Linked DNA regions of Arabidopsis thaliana. The protein of the gene in region 2 purifies or fractionates together with the protein of the main gene of each other region. This does not show direct contact. Each region holds a gene or a part of one and is shown on either strand. Other genes may lie near its edges. The genes, in order: ROC2, CAM6, WRKY53 and MAPKKK20.

Region 1 (5,302 bases), on a different chromosome or scaffold from region 2:
CGTAAGCCGCTTCGACCTCGTCTCTCTCCCATCCTGCTTCCGCCACGAAATCTTCTTCCGCACGTGAGTAGAATCCTGCGTTTATGACTGTGCCTCCACCGAGTACACGAGCGCGTGAGTTGAAAACGCCGTCTTCGGAGATGAAAAGCTGCGACCATGAGTTTGGAGTTATGTTCAAGAGTGTGTTTGCGAAGTTTCCGATGTCTGTTGCCGCTGGATCGTCGTAAGGGGAACCTCCGCGTTCGAGGACTAGAACGGTTGCGTTTTGAGAGAGCGTTGCGGCTAATGCACATCCAGCGGTTCCTCCTCCGATGATTATGTAGTCGAAGTGAGATAACTTTGGTGCTAATGTTGCATCTTTCATAAATCTATAGTTTCCAGCTACACGAAAACATATTTTTCATAAAGTTGGAGTTCATATTAGTACACTAAGGTAAGGTATAACAAAAAAAAAAAAAAAAAAACATAAGTTGAATGATTGGTAAAAGGAAACTAAAAATTCACGTACCTTCATCGGAATAACACGAGTCGTGGAAGATGAAAACTGCGACGAGGATAAATTGAAAAAATCGAAAGATATGAAAATTCATTATAGAGGAAGATTATAGGTTTGGTTCTTTATCTATTGGGGCCAAGGAAAAAAAATATGCTATTTATAAACCAACATTTAGAAAAGAAAAAACAAACAGGAACATCTCTCACGGTTGCGGCAAAAGTCTTATTCGATGATAACCTGGCTTCGACCTCTTTATTTTTTCTAGCACATTTAAGTCAACGGATTATAGTATTTTCCATCTTAGACTTTGATTTGTTACATAGTAATAATTATACTTTTAACCCCAGGGTCCTTATTATACAAAGTTTAAGTTTTTTTGTTGTTGTTTTCCAAAAAAATGATGATTTGACCAAATCAAATTATTGTGGTAATTTTGACGAGGTGGTGCAGCATGGCTGGCCACTATGTTGGAATCCAAGTGGTCAAGAAATGTGAATAAAATGGTTTTAAGAAATGTATAAAATAACGAAGCTAATACCAAAGAGTTGGCTAGACTTTAAGTTACATTAATTGCCAAGGCAAACTAGTTGTTGGAGTATTTAAAGAAGACTGTCCAAATATTGTTGGCTATTGACTATTGATGCTGAAACTTAACCATAAGTAGAAACTACTCAAAGAAATGTGTGATGCGTTGGCTAAACAATATTTATCATCACATGATCAGAAAGTTTATCTTGTTCTGCATATGAAGTGAAATCTGCCCAATTCGAAAAGTCAGCAATTTTGGATACATATTCGCAAATGAGTCCTAAGAAGAGTTTGGTTCATTCATATTAACTACACCAAAATAAGAAAGCTACAAAACCAAATGTCTTCATAAAGAAACTAACCATTATTATCATCCATCCTATTCTCACACAAGAGTTTTAAGAAAACAACTTACAAGGATGGACCACTTCCTAAGGTTCATATGATATAGTCAAAACCAAAGTAGTGCATCACAGACTAGATTGACCTTAACGCTAAGATGCTGTCTCTGCTTCACAGCATATGATAGAATAACCTGTCAAGATCAACCCACCCAATGTTTTAAGAACTTATGAACTTGGGTTCTTGAGCTCACCACAATCTTCAATCACAACTCGTTCAGAAGGATTTCCCATGTCAGAGCCAACATCCTCCATTGCCTTGACCACATTGTATCCATCAACAACTTTCCCGAAAACAACATGTTTCCCATCAAGCCACGAAGTCTTCTCTGTGCAGATGAAGAACTGAGAACCATTAGTGTTGGGACCAGAGTTAGCCATAGACAAAATCCCTGGACCAGTGTGCTTCAACTTGAAGTTCTCATCTTCAAATTTAGACCCGTAAATAGATTCTCCTCCAGTTCCATTCCCACGAGTGAAATCTCCACCTTGACACATGAACCCTGGGATTATACGGTGAAAGGCTGAGCCTTTGTAGTGTAAAGCCTTCCCTGCTTTCCCAATACCATTCTCCCCAGTGCACAAAGCACGGAAATTATTAGCTGTTCTCGGAGTCACATCTGCAAATAACTCCATTACAACACGCCCTGCCTTCATCTTACCAATCAAGATGTCGAAGAAGACTTTAGGATTCGCCATTTTACTCTGTCAATTACAAAGATATGAATCAGCAGATGGTCCCAAATTCTAATTGGTATATAAGAGACTAAATCATGCAAACAAAGGTCCCAAATTGTTCAAACAACAACAATTGTGAGATTACCACTCTATGAGCACCTTAAAGTAAACTAGATAAAACCCAAGTGGTACTATTTTCCGATCAATGCAGACGAATAAGGATTCAATTATTCAGATCTGACTCAGATTTTCTCATACAATGTTAAAAATCATAAAACCGATTAATAAATGTCCCATCCATCGAAATTGTCGATAAGAAAAGATAAATTCTTATAACACAGAGATTTATCGAAACCTCAAATGGATGGTTTTAGGATATTGCACAAATATTGAGCTCGCAGGCGTTTTTTATTATACGTTATCTGCAAGCCTTCGATATGTGCTTTTAACGCGATAAAACGCAAAATCGAAGAAATAGAGAAGCAAAAATCATCGAAAACATGAATTGGGTTCACCGAAATGAAGTACCTTTGCAGAGGCAATCTCAAATTCGTCTTCTCAAGGAGCGAGTGAAGGATTTATATAACGGCTCAATGGCACAAGGGCTTTGGGGGCTAGGGTTTTACTAGGGCTTTTGATTGTTTGAGTTGAGACAGAGAGATCTGTTTTCTCGGTTTTGCCCTTTTTTATTTTCTTACCGTCACAGTCTCATCAAAAAGCCCATATGATTCAGGCCCATTATTAAAACTACCATCCAAGAAATATAATCGTTTCGTTGGACTTGGACCCAACAACAAACCCCATTTCACATTGGTTCGTGTGAGCTAATTAAAGCTTTAATAAGCTATCTAATTTCAATCTCGTGTTGCTATCTTAATAAGCTCTTTAACAACATAAATCTCAATGTTTTGAGATTGCTTTCAAAGTTAACTATTTGATGTTCATTACAAGAGACTATATATATATGAACCTAGTTGCTTAGATCTAATTAAATGAGCTTTGGAAAATAAATTACATAGGACACTTGGGCTTTTCGGATGATTTATAATCTTGGCCTTATTATGAATGCTCTAATAAAACAAGAAGAAATGGATTCTCTGGTCGCTTGGACTTGTGTTAGTGGTTTATTAGCAAAGAGAAAGTGTCCAACAACAGAAGTGCAACAGAAGTGCAGAGTCTTTCCGAAAAATCAGATCATAGAACAATGCTTTTGAAGAGATGGTTATTAGGTGGACAAGACTCTACATTATATATTATAATATTCAGATTATCTTTATACTATTAACCACTCCATAATGTTACAAACAACCAATCTTAATGTAAAAAGTGAAAAACTAAATGAGAAGCAATATCAGATATTATAGAGCTAATAAGATTCTTCTTTTTCCTCTCTAACTCTCTTTCTTCAAGACCGATCTCACCCAATGATAAGTGAAATGGGGCGACGATAAGACTTCTTCCTCTCAATATTTACTCTAATGACTTCAGCATCCTTTTGACTTCAGATGTTTATAAGGTGGACAAGAGTCAGCACTAAACAGTATGTAGTATAATATTTGACGTTCAAACTATCTTTATACTACTAATCACTCTACAGTGTTAGAAATAGACAATTTTAATGTAAAACGTGGAAATCATCGATTAGGAAAAACAAATGTTTTCAATTATGGTTGGACTGTTGAGGGTTTCAATTATATTGACCACCAGAGCTAACCAAATATCATTTTCTGATTGACTTCCCTCAGAATATCTTATACTGATTCCTGAATATCTTTTTAAAAGGGCTTTTCGGATGTCATCTTTAATACCAGAAATAGACTTAGGATTCTTTGACCAAAGAGAAATAGTTCAGATGTGTATGCTATAGATTTTTTTGCACAAACTCTGAACCTATCTTTCAATCTAATAGGTTATGATGGAGGTAGATCATTTTATAAAGTGATTTAATCCATGAACCGATTACTCATTTTAACATCTAGTTAATCAAATTTAAATTATTTTTGAAAAATCACAATGGCAATTTTAGTAGTTTATGCTGAAATTCACATAATTATTTTACTTAGATAATAGTATTAATTATCCGGTGATTATCCAAATCACTATTCTGAAATAATGAAATTATATAATGGTCCGGTGATTATCCAAATCGTCATTTCATTAGTTTCATTATTGATTTCATAAAATAACTCAATGTCTTTAATATTATTCGTAAATGTCTCTTTTAATCTTATGTGTTATTTTATATGTCATTTTAAAAAATTGTCAAAACTCTCTAAAATTTTAAATCGTCAAAATCATCTAAATTTTTATCTAAACTCAAATCACTTCAACTCCTTCATCAAATCACTTCACTTCAAATCATTGGAATTTTGCATTGAAACAAAATATAATATTTATTTCCAAAACATATTCATTTGATTTTGGATCTATTTGTTTGAGCCATAGATGGAGAATCTGCTGACGGAAATATATACCCGGCGTCAATGTTGTTCTTGGTATGGATTTCGTTCCATTTATTTGCTTGTTTTAGACAGAGAGATGTTTTCTTCGTTTTGCCCTCTTATTTCACTATTTTACATTTTTGCTTTCAATAACAGTTGTCCAAAAAGAAAAAAAAAAGAAAAAACTTTCAGTAACAGATCAAAAAGCCCATATTAAGATTTAGGCCCATTATATAAACTCCGTCCGCGATTGAATTCAATCGGTTCGTTGGACCCAACAACAAACCCAATTTCAAGTTCGTTTTACTCATACCATGTCTTTTTTTTTTAACTCATACCATGTCTTCTAAAAATCAAAACTAAAACTGAATCAAATGGAAGGAAAAATATTATATTTATACTTCAAACTTTATAGTTAAAAGACACATTATCACAAGAATCTAACGTTTAACTTGATTCCTATAAGGCTATACTTTCCAAACCAAAAAAAAACTTCAAATTAAGAGTATCCGCACCAAAAATCATTGAACAGCCCTAATCAAAACGAAAATGAACAAGATTTGTTAAAGAGAATGATGAATGTTGTGTTTAAGGACGCCAAGAAGATTTCAAGCCAACAAGGAATTTGCCTCTGTACAGATTCGTTGACCATCGGAGTGATAAAAGAATAGGGTTTAGCTTCTTTAGCATTTCGACAGTGTCTTGCACCGCAAGATACCCTCCTGGTCTTAGTATTCGGTCTATTTCCACTACCACCT
Region 2 (5,416 bases):
TAATCAAAGGCTTCCTTAACATCAACGACATGGATGGAGTTGGTGAGGTGCGCTTTATAGTTTATAAACTTTCAATAATTTTTCACTCACTTTCGTTTTTTTAATTTTAACTATGGGCAAGTTAATATAATAGGTGGTGGATCTGATGGAAGAATTTGGAGTAAAACCTGATGTGGTAACGTTTAGCACTCTAATGAATGCATGGAGTTCTGTAGGAGATATGAAAAGATGCGAAGAGATCTATACAGATATGTTGGAAGGAGGAATAGATCCTGATATTCATGCATTTAGTATCCTTGCCAAAGGGTATGCTCGAGCTGGGGAGCCCGAAAAAGCGGAGCAAATCTTGAATCAGATGAGAAAATTTGGTGTTCGCCCAAATGTAGTGATCTACACACAGATCATAAGCGGTTGGTGCAGTGCTGGTGAAATGAAGAAAGCGATGCAGGTATATAAGAAAATGTGTGGAATCGTTGGTTTATCGCCTAACTTGACTACTTACGAGACTCTTATATGGGGATTTGGGGAAGCGAAGCAGCCATGGAAAGCAGAAGAGCTTCTGAAAGACATGGAAGGGAAGAATGTTGTTCCCACAAGGAAAACTATGCAACTCATAGCTGATGGATGGAAATCTATTGGTGTCTCTAATAGTAATGATGCCAATACATTGGGCTCTTCCTTCTCAACTTCCTCTAAACTCAATATCCCAAATAATATCGCCTCGTCGAGAAGTCCATTGTTCTTAAAAGGAATGCCTGAAAAACCAAAGCTATGTATCAAGTCTCAGTTTGGTTTGAGGCAGACTCTTTTGGTGGTGTTGTGCAGAGACCAGATTGGGGAAGCCGGGAGATTTTGTAAGTTCATGTAGAATTTGTTTTGCTGTAGAGATGGAGCTAAATTAAAGGGTAAGAAAAGCTGATCAAAGATTGGTGTCGATCGATTTTTAAGATTTATTTTTCTGTACAGATATACTTTTTCAGTTAAATGAAAAATATGGTGTTTAACAAGCAAGACAATGAGATGGATAATGTTAGATTGTATTTTTTTGTTTCTTAATCGAAAAGTTGGTGCTAATTGTGTCCCAAAAACTTGATTATGTGATATTTGAGGCAATTTCTCTTTATAAAACTATATAATCTCTATAGAATAAATTATAATAATTTGACCCGCGGGTGAATACGATGATCTGATGACCTATAAGGTAGTCCGGTTCGCTATCTGGATCGGGTTAACATTGACCCTATATAAACCAAGCATCCACCAACAAACTTAGTTGACTAAAGAGTCTCTGGACCTAGAGGTCAAGAGTCCAATTTTCGTTTGGGAGATGGTCACATTACATCTTTTGGTCTCTCTAGCATCAGGGAGTGTACGAAATTAGGTTTACAACCTCTTTGATCATTTAAAAAACTTTTAGACAACAATAGATTTAGAGGCTACTTACATTTGTTTCTAAAGAATTTCCAATTTTGATGATCCTAATGGAAAAAAGGTTTGAAGGTTAGGGACTTACGGTTTACAAACTAAGAAACAAAATGGTTTGTAAATTTTATTGATACATATAACTACTATATTTTTCATGTAAAATAACAATAACGTTGGCGATGTTGCAAAATCGTTTTCGTTGGTCAATTCTCTTACTGGTATTTTAAACGCGGCCAAATTTTAGGGCATTGCTTTAAGATAAACAACAACTAACAAAAATTTACAGAATAAAATCAGATGCCCAAAAAAGAGAGCAAAATATGAGTTCATACTTCACATAACACTAAAAGGCTTAACCAAACAAACAAGGGAAATAAGCAAAATGATGTCCTAAAGAACGCAACCAGAATCAAGTCATAATGTAACTTCACTGTAGAAATCATAAATCTTGTTTCTTTTTGTGGGCTTAAGATAAAATTCTCTCACTTAGCCATCATGACTTTGACGAATTCTTCATAGTTAATCTGACCATCGCCATCAACATCCGCTTCTCGGATCATCTCATCAACTTCCTCATCGGATAGCTTCTCACCGAGATTTGTCATGACATGTCGAAGCTCTGCTGCAGATATGAAACCATTCTGGTCTTTATCAAAAACCCTAAAAGCTTCCTTGAGCTCTTCCTCTGAATCAGTGTCCTTCATTTTCCTTGCCATCAGGTTCAGGAACTCCGGGAAATCAATGGTCCCGTTCCCATCTGCATCAACTTCATTGATCATGTCTTGAAGCTCAGCTTCTGTTGGGTTTTGCCCCAGAGACCTCATCACGGTTCCGAGCTCCTTGGTGGTGATACAACCTGCAACCAGATTCAGGTATAATAAGCTTTTAGAGACAGACTTATATCCACAGTCAACAAACAAAAGCCATTGTATTTCTTATTTCGACTGATGAAGATCTGGTAAGTAAAAAAGAGAATGATTTTTTTTCATTCAACAAAGTCCTACTAAGTTAACAAAGAAACTCCATTCATACAAACTAAAAATAATCACTCTTCCAAGTCCTACCTAAAGTGTTAGGGTAAAAGAAATATTCTGTGTTTATTCCGTCTTTCCTTATGTGTGTGTACTAGCAAATCTAGAATCATGTGTATTAAAAAGACACAATATTCTTCTCCAAATCTCTTTACATGGTATCAAAGCCAGAATCAAAACCCTAGCCACTTCGTTCTATTGAACCCACATCTCACCGTGCAAAGGCCAATAATGCACAACAGAATTTTGCAAGTTTTTCACCAATCAAAGCAGAATACATTCCTGATATCTACAACATCAATCCTTTTTTCAACAATTAAACTACTCAAAATCTCAACATATGGATAAATTTCCCAAAACATTTCATTGCTGCATCACGAGACTGAACCAGAACAAGAACAAAACACAGCGTGAGTCATGAATCGCTATCGAATTAGCCAAAAGCTAGATCGTTCACAAGTGAAACAAACACGAATCATACAGAAAACTGAAGAAGATCATAAATCTGTCAAACAAATTCCAGAACTCGTATACGGACGGAGTAATCATCGGGGAAAAAACGCAAAGATCTGGGAAAGAAACATACCATCACCATCCTTATCGAAGAGGCTAAAGGCTTCCTTGAACTCTGAGATCTGGTCATCGGTGAGCTGATCCGCCATTTTCCTTCTTACCTTTTTTTAGAAATCCCAGATTTTTTTTTTGCTACTGAATATATTATTTGCCTCTCTAATAATAATTCAGCAAGAGAGCTTATAAAAGAGAGAGAGCCCAACAACTTATGGTTGGGCCTCTAAAGATTTACTAGCTAATTCAGTAATTCTTATGATTTTTTTGTCTTTTTAGTTTAGTTTTTTAAGACAATTATAAAGAAAACTATAACCTTTGCAGTTAATTTAGACATATATACTAGGTAATAAATCTATCAAATTAACAATTATTAATTTTTTTTGACTATTTTCAAAACTGATTTAGTAGAATATTTTACAGTATATCAATTAAACTTTTGACATTATTTTTTTCATTTAAATATTTAATTATAAAAAGTTTTTAAACTAGGATAGATATTTAAGGATATTAATTAATTTGGAAAATTAAAAAAAAACTTATAATATGTTGAAAAAAATAATATATGGATACATATGAAATGATTAGAGTATCCTCTAAATTTACGTTACAGAAACGGATATGTATAAGCAAAAATTTTACATGAATACACTTTTTTGTAGAAATAGTTAAACTTGAATCGATTTTACATGTTTTGTTTTAATTTAAATGGATACTTAATAAAAAAGTTAGTCAATATCTCTACATTTTTTCCAAGTAAACTGTTTTTAAATTTTTTTAGTTTTTATATTAAAAACAAAAAGAGTGTTCGATCATTTATATGAGTCTTATTATTCCACACCTCTAGAATATATATGTACTCGCTACAAATGAGTCTAATGAGCTTTTGCCGTTGATGATTTGTTCAATGTTCTAATAATTGTCATCAGTCTATAACCATTGACACTACACAAAACGGTTGCAATGTATGACTTTTGTTGAACTTTGTAGTGACTAGTAAGTAAGTGAGAGTGAAGAAGCAACGGTTTTTCTTTCTTACAAAAAACTCATATATACTTCAGAGTTAAGACTTAAAAATATATAATAGTGGATAAAATCAGTTACAACTATTTTTTTTTTTAAATGGTCTGTAACAAAAACATAAGAATTCATCGATTACTTAGAAACAACTCAAATGAGAAAGAAAAAAAAACACCTATTGATTAGGTCCATATCTAGTCAAAATCTGAATACTCAAATATTTTGTCATTACATTAATTAACCCAAAATAATTGACCAAAAAAGGCAAAAAACATAATTTTATTTCTTAAGAAAATTGAGGAGCTTAACAAAGGAAAGAAACGTATAATTGTCCCATACGAAAAAAAAAAATTAAAAAACAAGTGTCCATTAAAGTGAGAGAGTCCCTACACGAAATTAAATAAGTTTTTGTCTGTTAGCTACAAATTTCTCTACAATCATCGTATCTCTTTCGTCGCATCTCTATCTCTTGTTGCTCCTTGTATTAGCCCATCATTTTTTTATTTCTCCTGCGAATTCTCCGCCATAGATTTTCTTTTGAATTTCTCCTGCTAACTCTTGAGCTCCCCAAAGGCGGCTACATCGGTTTTGTCACCTCTACTCGCTCACTTTTCTCCGTCCAATTTTGCAGGTTTGTTGGTCGATTCTCCATGTTTTTGCTTCGAATTCGATGAGTAATTCGGTAACTTAGAGAGTTGCTTACGCTTTTGGTTTATGTGTAAAGTGTGCATAATCTCTATATTATATGATGGTGATGATGATTAGTTCTGTAGCTAACTCGAGAATCTCGCTTCAATTGTGTATCAGTACAAATATTGGTTTAGTGGAGAATTTTGGATTTGTAGATGCTTGCTTGAACAATATATGATTTATCTAAGTCATGATTCTAGAGATTTAGGCTGTTTTTGGAGTAATTAAAAAGGATGATCGGAATTTCCGGAGAAAATCTCCGCTGCTAGATTTGTCATTGCCTTGTGGATTTTCAGCTGTTTTTACGCTTTGTCTTTATTGAATTCTGTGGCATATTACTGTTCTTTTCTTGACGGTTTCTTTCACTTTTTTTGCATTTAGTTTCCGTGAATTGAGCAAAGAAACACTATCTTGCCTGTTGTTGTGTTGGATTCTTTTCATGGAATCATTCTTATATGCGAGATTACATTTTCCAAAAACAGCTTTTGAAGATCAAGAGGTGAACATTCGGAGTGATGAATCGGCCAAAGGTTCAGCGTCGTGTTGGAAAGTATGAGGTTGGAAAGACGCTTGGACAAGGCACTTTTGCGAAAGTTCGGTGTGCTGTTAATACTGAGACAGGAGAACGCGTGGCTCTCAAAATACTTGATAAGGAGAAGGTTCTTAAGCATAAGATGGCTGAA
Region 3 (5,344 bases), on a different chromosome or scaffold from region 2:
GGCTGAGCAAGAAAAGGCGAATAAGAAGAAGAAAAAGGATTGTCCTGAGACAAAGCGACCATCGTCCTCATACGTTTTGTGGTGTAAAGATCAATGGACTGAAGTCAAGAAGGAAAACCCTGAGGCTGACTTCAAGGAGACTTCGAACATTCTGGGGGCTAAATGGAAGTCTCTTAGTGCAGAAGATAAGAAGCCTTACGAGGAAAGGTACCAGGTTGAGAAAGAAGCTTACCTCCAGGTCATTGCTAAGGAGAAGCGCGAGAAGGAGGCCATGAAGCTTCTGGAGGATGACCAGAAGCAGAGAACTGCAATGGAATTGCTTGATCAGTATCTCAACTTTGTCCAGGAAGCTGAACAGGACAACAAGAAGAAGAACAAGTAAAAACCAAAAGTCTTAGTGACTATATCAATTTGATCATCAATAGTAAACTAACTAGAGCTGTTTATGGTTTGCAGGAAGGAGAAGGACCCTCTGAAGCCAAAACATCCCGTATCTGCCTTCCTTGTTTATGCAAACGAGAGGAGAGCTGCTTTACGCGAAGAAAACAAAAGCGTCGTGGAGGTAAATCTAATTACTTAATTCGTTCTCCAGATCAGTTTTTGTCAAATTGTGAAGCTAACTTATGGAGTTTAAATGTGGTTATAGGTCGCAAAGATCACTGGAGAGGAGTGGAAGAACTTGTCAGACAAGAAAAAGGCACCCTACGAGAAGGTCTGTTTCCATACAAATATGCTTGCATTTCACTGCCATTAAAGACTTAAGACTGAATGATTGAGGTATTCTTGTTTAAATAGGTGGCAAAGAAGAACAAGGAGACATACCTGCAAGCAATGGAGGAATACAAGAGGACAAAGGAAGAAGAAGCCCTGAGTCAGAAGAAAGAAGAAGAGGAACTCTTGAAACTCCACAAACAAGAAGCTCTTCAAATGCTTAAGAAGAAGGAGAAAACTGATAATCTGATCAAGGTAATAACTCTCTCTCACTCACACTTAACTCACCAAGGTCTATTTCAACTCAGAGACTCACAGGATCATAATTATTTGTCTCTTGCAGAAGGAGAAGGCGACCAAGAAGAAGAAGAACGAAAACGTTGACCCTAACAAACCAAAGAAGCCTGCTTCTTCATACTTTCTCTTCAGGTATGAACTTACTTCAAGTTATAATCCGAATTGGTCTTTATAGAAAGTTCCTAACTTATCATGTTTTTACAGCAAGGACGAAAGGAAGAAATTGACAGAAGAACGTCCCGGGACAAACAACGCTACTGTTACTGCTCTCATTTCACTGAAATGGAAGGTATGAAAAATCACAATTACTAGCAACAAAACACATTGGCTTGTAACAATTTCCTGTTGTTAATCTATCTGTGCGAATACGTCTTTGCAGGAATTGAGTGAAGAAGAGAAGCAAGTTTACAACGGAAAGGCCGCAAAACTGATGGAAGCATACAAAAAGGAAGTGGAAGCTTACAACAAGAAGTCTGCGGCTACTACCAGTAGCTAGATAAATCTCTCTTAGTATTGAAATCATGTTCAAGTCCTGTTGAACATTCCTTATTATGCATCGTTAGATTACTCTAAGTACTTTTATGTTTTAACTCTCGCTGATCATTACTTACTAGTTACTATCTATTTCTCTGTTACAAATTTTAATTAATAATAAATCGACTCGTGTAAAAACGCGGGGAAAGTTGTGTCAATCTCGACCGTTGGATTGAACCAGTCAACAACGTCGAAGATCGGAGAACTCTCCACGTGGCCGAACTCGCCGTTGATAGTTCCGTAATTGTAAAACGGCGGCGTATCAGGGAACGAGAAAACGTCTTTACCATCATCAAGCCCATCGGTTCGAACGGTTAAGTTGGATTTAAGACTCTCGAGAATATCCTTTGGCTTTTGGGTAATGGCTGGTTTGACTCTGGTGTCTTGTCGCTTCTCCGGCGAGGCTAATGGTGGTGTTCTTGTGATCGCCTGCGAACAAGTGTGTGTTCCTCTGTACGTCACTTCGAAAACCGTAGCATCCCCGTCTGATCTCTGGACTTGTTTCGTTGCCCAACAGTTTTGTGTGCTACGATGTGTGCATCTGTAATAACTCCTTGGGAATTTGGCGCCTAAAATGTCTTTTTGACCATATTTTCTCCAGCTAAAGACATCATCTTGAGGTCCTTCTAAGCCTCTCTCTGGGCTTATTCTCACTTTTTCTGACCACTTTGGTAACATCTTTCTGCAAAAATTACCCAAATTTCAAATTAGTTTCTAGAAAAAATGAGATTTTTAAATTCAATTTGGTGAATTGTGAAAAAAGATATCAACAATTTGTTACCTTTTCTTTGAATTGAAAATGTAATCTTGGCGATGATGACTCTCGCTAGAACCTCCTCCATCGGCAAACTCTTCACTTCTCGGACTTCCGTTTATCGATGCCGGAGATTCTGGAACACTGCCGGGATTTGCCACCGGGACTACAGTAACCGGCGTCGGAATAAGTTGTACGCTCGGTGAGGATGACCAGTTTAGCAGAAGAAGAGATCTCTCGTAGGAAGAAACTATCTGCTTCACCAGAATCTCGTTAGTCTCAGCAACAGCCGTCGCCGGTGATGAAAATGATGACGACGGCGACGGAGCTTCTCTAAGTCGTGCCTGAAGCTTTTTGGCCGCATCAAATCCATTGATAAGCTCGCTTAGCAATGTCTTTTGCTCCCAACTTAACATATCTCTTCCTTCCATTTTTAGTATATGATTCCCAAAATAGATTTTTTTTTTCCTTTAGGTAGTTTACTCTAGGAAATTGATACAAACTATGATGAGAAAGATGTATAATGTGTGTTTTAAGTATAAATCAAGAATTGGTTATATAGATGGACTGAAAGAATGATATGATCAGAAAAATATAATGTGTGTTGAGTATAATTAAGAATGGGTTATATAGATTGAAGAATGATATGATGAGAATGAGAGTGTTATAGGATTGGTGATAAAAATGGATGAGTGTTGGTTTGGTATATAAAGGCATTGGATTTTCAGTGTTTGAAAATTTGACCAAATGACCAAACCATAAATAATTATTTTATTTCTTTTTAAAAGAGAGACAAAACTTTCAAATTGAAGAAAAGTCTTTGGTATAAGGAAGTATAGGGCCAGAGTGTAATTGATAAGTGGGGTGGTGGTAGTGAAAGAGTATAAGGTCAAAGGCTGACCAATTCAACATTTCAATTTTGTTAATGTAGTTGTAACCAAGTTTATCATTTATTTAACTATAGTGGGTTAATTATATAATTAGACAACAAAGGGTTATACAACTGTCTCTTTCAATGTACACTTTCAAAACTACGACTTTGTACATGTGATTAAGATTCTCTATTATTATATGTTTTTTTCTACTGTTAAAGAATTTCCAATATATGTTTTTTATTTGATTAAGAATATTTTCAAAATATGTTGGTTGATGCTTTACTAGTATGCATTATGCAACAACCTTTCTATGGATAATATTTCATTGCTATAACTATGAATTGTAATGATGTTTAATATCATTAATAAGGGAAAGGATATTCCACATTCTGTTTTAAGTACAAGTATCAAAACACATATTGGTAATTTGGTATAATACAATTCTTATTAACATTCAATAGATTAGCAATAACATAAAAATTATGTTGAATGAAATTTACTAAGATTTGATTGTTCTAGTTTTAAAATCATACACTTCTAAAAATAAGATATAAAATAAAAATCTGATGAGGATTAATTAATCTGTACAAAATTTCTTCCTAAAAACCCCTATATGTTTTTGTTTTGTGTCAATATATTTAAGCATACATTTGTTCAAGATATAATATTGTATTAACATGAAAAAATATAAATTTGTTTGGCAAAGAAAATAAATAATAGTTGCAGTCTAACAATATAACTAAATAATATTTAAAATGGTAGTTGCTTATACATATATAGTCTGTGAGTGATTATGTGAGCTATGTCAAGTTGTTAACTGTTTCTAAATAAGAAATATTAAACTCGAGAGGGGAAAATAATACAAATGGGTTTAATTTGGACAAATATATATGATATGTTCCATAAGAATATAATCTACAAAGTTATGTGATAATACACCAAGAGTATGACAAGGTTTTTGCTGACCAAGTCACCATGGAATTATCTCAAATAGTCATATAGGTGTGTGAATAAATATTTATTTATGGTTGAGACAAATGGCCATTAATTTGGACAAAATTTATTTATACATAATGATTGATATGTTCCAAAGAGAAAAGTAGAAAAAACCAGTCACTGTGTGATACGATATATACAATACAACAAGAGTATGATAAGGTCTTTGCTGACTAAGTCCAACATCAAGCTATCTAAAGTAGTCAGATCGATAGATGCATTCCATTCCAACATTCATTTCTTATGATTAATCCTTTTTAACTTTGTATGTCATCAAATATTATTCAATTGTAATTTGGACCTCTCATACGTAAGAAATAACCTTTGTAATAATTGAACCGTTATCCAAAAAGTTACAGCAAAAATCTCATAGCTGAAGTTGACACACACGAGTGTAGTGTACAGGACCAATAACCACTAAAAGGTTTATGAACCATATTTACCGTTTTACTAATGAAATGGTTACTTTTTTAAATTTGTTTTGGGTCAAAACTCACTCATGGGAATGGGATTACCAAAATCGTTTTCGATAGATTTGATTTGCGCAAAGTATAGTGTAGAAATAATTTGTTTTTTGGGTCGATATTCATAACATACATTTATTTATGTAATTTTACTTCAACGTAGGCCTTTTACAAAAGGAAAAAAAATCACTTCAACGTAGAAAAAACGTAATTCCAAAAAACAGATTTGTTGATTAATAAAAAGCAAGAAAAATCAAAAAGAAAATCAATATTCAAAAGGACAGGATTGGACCGAAGACATTTCAAACCTCTCTCCGCGTGGATTTTCCCTTTTATCATTCTTTTTTGTTTTCTAGTTTTAGTACTCCAAATGATATTTTAATTTTTATAATGGCGTCACTCTCTTTTGCGTCATTCATTCATTGTATTATTATTATTATTTGGATCTCATTCATCATTCATCCTTATAAAATGAATCTTGGCACTTTGCACCCTAAATTTGTATTTACACTTCATAGAATCAGCTGAAATTATGTAATTTGACATATTTGCATCCAAAACATAACTCTTGAAATCTTTGAATCAGCTCACAAGATAATGACGTAAGTTGACATATTATTTCTGCATTGCTTCATTACAAAACCAAGAAGATTTTTTTTGTATGATCTGTAAACTTTACGGCATTAAGTATCGCATTTATTTCTAATTACGCA
Region 4 (5,130 bases), on a different chromosome or scaffold from region 2:
CATTTAGTTTTGGACTTTTAATTAGCTAGAAACTCATTAAAAACTGCCGATGGACTTGCTCTTAGTGTATGTGGAGAGACATCATCTTTCTCCGATAAACTTTATTTTTATTCTTTTTTTATTCTTATTATAATTAAAGACATCCTCATTATTTGTCCAATGAAAATGCTCTAACCGAATTAGAATAACTATGAATTTGATAAATTTTTATCTCTTGATTAGATTCCTTTATGTTATGTCTTTCCCTATCTGACTCACAATACTCAACAACTATCTGACTCACAATACTCAACAACTGCGCATATGAAAAGCTTATTAGAATAGAAACTCTTAACTGCGAGAGAATATATAGAGCTTCAAAATGTACATAGACTTGCACCGACCTAAGTCAAATACACAATCACTTTTGAATTGAAATGGGACAAACACAAGATGACGCAAACACAAAATCATATATATCAGTTTGAAGCCATTTTGTGACACAAGTCCATACTCAGAGATGAAGATTTTCTAATGACAACTACTTGTATTGGTTCTTAACTTTTAAACCAAAAAGTACTTTTTTCATTGGGTCACATTCCATAAGATATTGTTGTTACAAGGTTTGATGGCTAATAAATAACATATTAACAATCATCGAGTGGGCTGTGTCAATAAATAAAGCTATCGAAACATAACGGGCCTCTTAAAACCAAATGGGCCTAAATTCAATTAACAGCGACGAGGGATCCAAAATGCTATCGTGTTGAGCAGAGTATATGGTGCAAGAGAAGCTTGTTTTACTTGAAGCAAAGTATTCAAGTAAGCTGTCGTGTGGTGGCCACGAACTATCCTCTGTCAATAACATTCTTTAATCTTACTCTCAACACACCAATTTTGCTCTTCTCTTTCCTTTTCTAAACCACTTTTTTGATGGATTGATTATGATCATATCTCTTGTATTAACGAGCTACTAAATCCTCAAAATTTAATAACACAACAAAAGCAAGTCAAGGAACACTAGAATGAATTGTATTAACAAATCAATTACACCTAAAGAATACGAACAAGAATCGTAGAATGGGTCTAACTAGGTGCTAAAAAAAAGCCCTAGCCTTCCAAACACACTGTTTTTCCTCTGTTTTCATATAACTTTCATCACCGGACTGTAAGCCAACTCCCACCGACAGACCAATCAGGGATCGAACCACTAACCAAACTCCCAAGTCTCTCCACCGGAGAATCAAACGAGGGGTTTGAATCCAATGTAAAAGAATCCCAATCATCAAACTCAAAAGGACACTTTGGAGACATCAATACTTTATCCTCATCCTTAACCTTCACAACGAAGTTTTCTCGGTGATCATCTTCAAGATCAATGGTTACAAACGAATGGTTCAAAAGCATCTCAGCCGTCCATCTTTTCGCTGGATCTTTAACAAAACACTTCGACAAAAAATCCTTGCCTTCTTCGGACAACATCTCTGGAATCTTCGGTAACTCATCACCAACACCTATACGTATCAAAAGCGACATGAAGTGTGATCCTTCTTTAACACTCCATGCCGTTTTGCCACTAAACATCTCAACTACAGCACATCCTAAAGCCCACACGTCAGCCGCTGATCCATACTCGTTATCATTAACACATTCCGGTGCCATGTATAACGGCGTCCCTCTAATCTCCACACTTTTTCTTAACGCCGTTAAATCTCCGTCAACTCTCATCGCCAAACCGAAATCGGCAATTTTAACAGAGCCGTCGTTAAATAACAGAATATTCGCGAGTTTTATATCGCAGTGTGCAAACCCTTTAGCGTGGATGTGACGTAACCCTCGAAGCACTGATCCTGTGTGGCGACGCACGGTGGACTCCGGTAAACCCTCACCGCCAAGTTTCTTCATGTAACTCGCTAAGCTTCCTCTCGAAGCGTACTCTAATAACAAGTTATGCATCTCTTCTCCGTTCTCCACCGTTGAATCCTCGCCGTAACACCGTATGATCTCAGGACAATCACCGAGTGAATCCAACACCGATTTCTCGTTGGAGAGTGAAGCGGCGCCATAAGCATCCGTCGACTTCACAGCGATAAGTGCAGGAAAGTCGCCGGAGTTTCTAGACTTTGTCGCTGTACTGACAGTAGAGAAGGTTCCGAACCCAATTGTTTCTCCTCGAACCCACTCCATTGAAATTGAAACAAAAGCTTTTAAGAGAGATTACGAAGAACAAAGATTTGTGAAGAAGGGTTTCGTTTTTATAGATTTAGGGTAAAAGAAAGTTTCCTTTTTTTTTGTTTTGGATTAACCAAATCAGAATTGGAATGGGAATTGTAAGTATTTAGGAAATCTGAAGATACAGAGCATGTAGCTCGTGACGGTTAATTGTGCCTTATGGTGGAACTTCTTCATTATATACTATCAAGTTTTTATTATTTTTAATTGTGATATTTGTTTTCCTTAGTCTTGAATTTTTGGGGTAATTAATGCACGTGATGAAAGCGGATATTTGATATTTTTCTCGTTGGGCTGCTAAAAACGAAATTTAGTAACAAAATATTTATTAACTTGGGAAAATCAATATTATCGCATGACTTTGGTTTTGGTTACTACGAGATTTTACAGAATCTTTAGGTTAATTACTCCCATATCAGTGTATCATTTACCAATATTTAAATTTTAAGGAGTACTACTTATTGACAAAAAGAAAAACACATTTACTTTTTCTTTCTTTCTTTCTAAATGGTGTTAGGATTTGAAATCAAGAAATTTGATGGTCAATCTTTAACGGAAGCTTGACCTTAAGTTTATTAACCAATCTACGACGATTAGTATTAGTTAACCAAATTATGCTTAAGACATCCATTAGACTATTAGAGTATTACCAATGAGGTTGGTCTTCTTTCAAGGACGTTGATACTTGATAAGATAAAATTATAAAAATTGCAAGTTGAGGTTTGTGGTGTTGTTTGGTGATTCCAAGAATCAATTCCTTCTCAATTTAGTAACGTTATTGCATTTTCTCCCAGTGTTTTCTTAAACGAATATATAAAGACTAAATAAAACACACACAATTTTGTTAAATACATCATTTTTTAACTTTATATAACTATTTTTTAACTAGCATTAATAATTATTTTTCTCAACAACTACTAGCATATGATTAGTTATAGATCAATGATGTAAAACGATAATATAATATTGATTATATGTAATTGTTTCTTGTATATATAATTTATGTAAAATCAGTTCAAAGTTAATGTCTTTTCGGGATATCCACTAAAACAATAACTAAGAAGATTATTACTAAAAAAGCAGTATAATTTTTTTTTTGTATAAACTAATAAATAAAAATAGATAGTTAAATAGCAGCTGCAATTTGCATGTTTATTTTCAAATACTAATATTGATAGACGAAAAAATGCTGAATACAATGAAGTTGTCACATGTGAATTGTACTATAGTTTGTATTTTATTGTTTGCTTACAAATTCCAATAGCAATTCAACAGATTTTGATGCTTCAACATATGACTTTATCCGACAATTCTTCCAATCATTATTCTTCTTGCTAATATTTTATTAGTCACGACTTTACGATACATTTTACTTTTATCGTTAAAAAAATGCTTGATTTAGAAGTTTTCACAACAACAACAACTTGCTTGGCCGTCCGTTAATTTGTAGGTCGTAATGGCATGATTGCATGAGAATCATATAAAAATAATACTCTATCATGATTTTACATATACTTTCAATCTTTCATATATCCCTTTGCTTTATGGTTTCTACATTTTTAGTATCTACAGAGCAATATATGTACTGTTAGAAATATCTTATCCCAACTATAGTTTTGTTACAATGACTCACATATGGGTGTAAGTGACGTTTTTGATATTGCTCTATAGATAAACGTTTACACACAATTTTGTTTTGTTGATTAATTAGTTTCTACTTTCTTCTATAGAATTGGCAATATAACAATAAAATTTAACCAAGAAATTAAAACAAAGTTCTTTTCTTGTTATTGATCAGAAGGTTGCAAGATTGTCATGAAATAAATTGCGGCGCACCTCAACTATATAAAAGTTAGGGTGAATAGTAAATGAATAAATGAGTGGTCAAGAACGGCAAAGAAGTGCTTCAGAGTGAAGTTTAGTTTCTTTTCTTTCTTTATTGTCGGAATCAGACCTGAAGTCTTCGATACCAAACAGAGAGAGTAATAACAAACTTTCGCAAGTTGCGGCTCTTAAATTTTCATAAAATCTATACTAATAATAATATTTAAAACAAATATCATGATTTTTTGCTGATTATAATAATTTTAAAAAGAAGATATATAACGGACATTAACGGAATCTGACGGTGACGAACGCACAAAACTCGAAACGTAGAGTAACGCGAGCTTTGAGGTCAGAGAAGTTAGTATTATCCTTAAATTCCTTAGCCGTCACTCCGTCACCGTCACATGTTCGCATGTTCTTTCCACCAATTTAGTTATTTATTTGTTCCTAGATTTTCTTGCATATTTATTAGTATTTTTATTCTTCTAACAAATATCTTCCTCGATAATATATATATATAGAGTTTTATATTTCTCTGTATAAATGGATAAAGAAAGATCTTGCGACTTGCGGAGCTCTTTTATTCTTTTTTTGGTTTGGGTACCATGAACCAATCACATACTCCGAATTTTCTTTTCTTTTTGTTCTTTCGGCTGCTTTTATCGTAGTTGATACTTTTTTCCTATCTGCTTAGAATTATCTCTGTTGTAACAAAGAAGAATTCTATGATTCTTCTGTATCCTACACATTATAGTCTTCAACCGTCGCTTGCTATTAACGCATGATTATTGTTATGTCAGTTTTCACTTAACATATTATATATTCAGTTCTGATATTCAAATGGTATCATCCTACTTGCGTTTCGGAAAATATATACAGTCTAAGGCCCTGTTCGTTTCATCAGTAAGATGGATCATTTGGATGGAGATGAGTTTTGATGTTCGTTTGGTGCCAAAAACGGTTCATTCAGATGATCCATCCAAATGAATCATCTGGATGAGTTTGAAAATTTAGGCTAAATTTTGAAACTCATTTGGCTGAACTAAATTGGATCATTTGGATGGAGATGATTCAATCTAAAATAACAAATGA

The links.
Region 1: the proteins of CAM6 (region 2) and ROC2 purify together in Arabidopsis thaliana (affinity purification with western blotting, with the first as the bait; one study listed by BioGRID). This does not show direct contact.
Region 3: the proteins of CAM6 (region 2) and WRKY53 purify together in Arabidopsis thaliana (affinity purification with western blotting, with the first as the bait; one study listed by BioGRID). This does not show direct contact.
Region 4: the proteins of CAM6 (region 2) and MAPKKK20 purify together in Arabidopsis thaliana (affinity purification with western blotting, with the first as the bait; one study listed by BioGRID). This does not show direct contact.

The regions. Positions count from the first base shown.
Region 1 is NC_003074.8:20,805,394-20,810,695, forward strand, and holds ROC2 (rotamase cyclophilin 2), read right to left. Parts: upstream 2,776-5,302; 5' UTR 2,632-2,775; exon of another isoform or gene 2,459-2,631; intron 2,131-2,458; 5' UTR 2,125-2,130; coding exon 1,594-2,124; 3' UTR 1,173-1,593; downstream 1-1,172. Other genes in the region: AT3G56060 (Glucose-methanol-choline (GMC) oxidoreductase family protein), read right to left, coding at 1-381, 509-590; AT3G56080 (S-adenosyl-L-methionine-dependent methyltransferases superfamily protein), read right to left, coding at 5,133-5,302. UniProt on the Arabidopsis thaliana protein: PPIases accelerate the folding of proteins. It catalyzes the cis-trans isomerization of proline imidic peptide bonds in oligopeptides.
Region 2 is NC_003076.8:7,212,833-7,218,248, forward strand, and holds CAM6 (calmodulin 6), read right to left. Parts: upstream 3,221-5,416; 5' UTR 3,119-3,220; coding exon 3,043-3,118; intron 2,282-3,042; coding exon 1,908-2,281; 3' UTR 1,642-1,907; downstream 1-1,641. Other genes in the region: AT5G21222 (protein kinase family protein), read left to right, coding at 1-47, 134-868; CIPK26 (Ca2+regulated serine-threonine protein kinase family protein), read left to right, coding at 5,249-5,416. UniProt on the Arabidopsis thaliana protein: Calmodulin mediates the control of a large number of enzymes, ion channels and other proteins by Ca(2+). Among the enzymes to be stimulated by the calmodulin-Ca(2+) complex are a number of protein kinases and phosphatases.
Region 3 is NC_003075.7:12,391,013-12,396,356, forward strand, and holds WRKY53 (WRKY family transcription factor), read right to left. Parts: upstream 2,971-5,344; 5' UTR 2,728-2,970; coding exon 2,324-2,727; intron 2,225-2,323; coding exon 1,654-2,224; 3' UTR 1,505-1,653; coding exon of another isoform or gene 1,388-1,504; 3' UTR 1,358-1,387; downstream 1-1,357. Other genes in the region: 3xHMG-box2 (HMG (high mobility group) box protein), read left to right, coding at 1-378, 457-562, 647-712, 796-966, 1,055-1,140, 1,213-1,297, 1,388-1,504. UniProt on the Arabidopsis thaliana protein: Transcription factor. Interacts specifically with the W box (5'-(T)TGAC[CT]-3'), a frequently occurring elicitor-responsive cis-acting element. May regulate the early events of leaf senescence. Negatively regulates the expression of ESR/ESP.
Region 4 is NC_003074.8:18,647,159-18,652,288, forward strand, and holds MAPKKK20 (mitogen-activated protein kinase kinase kinase 20), read right to left. Parts: upstream 2,364-5,130; 5' UTR 2,167-2,363; coding exon 1,138-2,166; 3' UTR 917-1,137; downstream 1-916. UniProt on the Arabidopsis thaliana protein: Mitogen-activated protein kinase kinase (MAPKK) that phosphorylates both MKK3 and MPK18 and regulate two separate signaling pathways involved in root microtubule functions.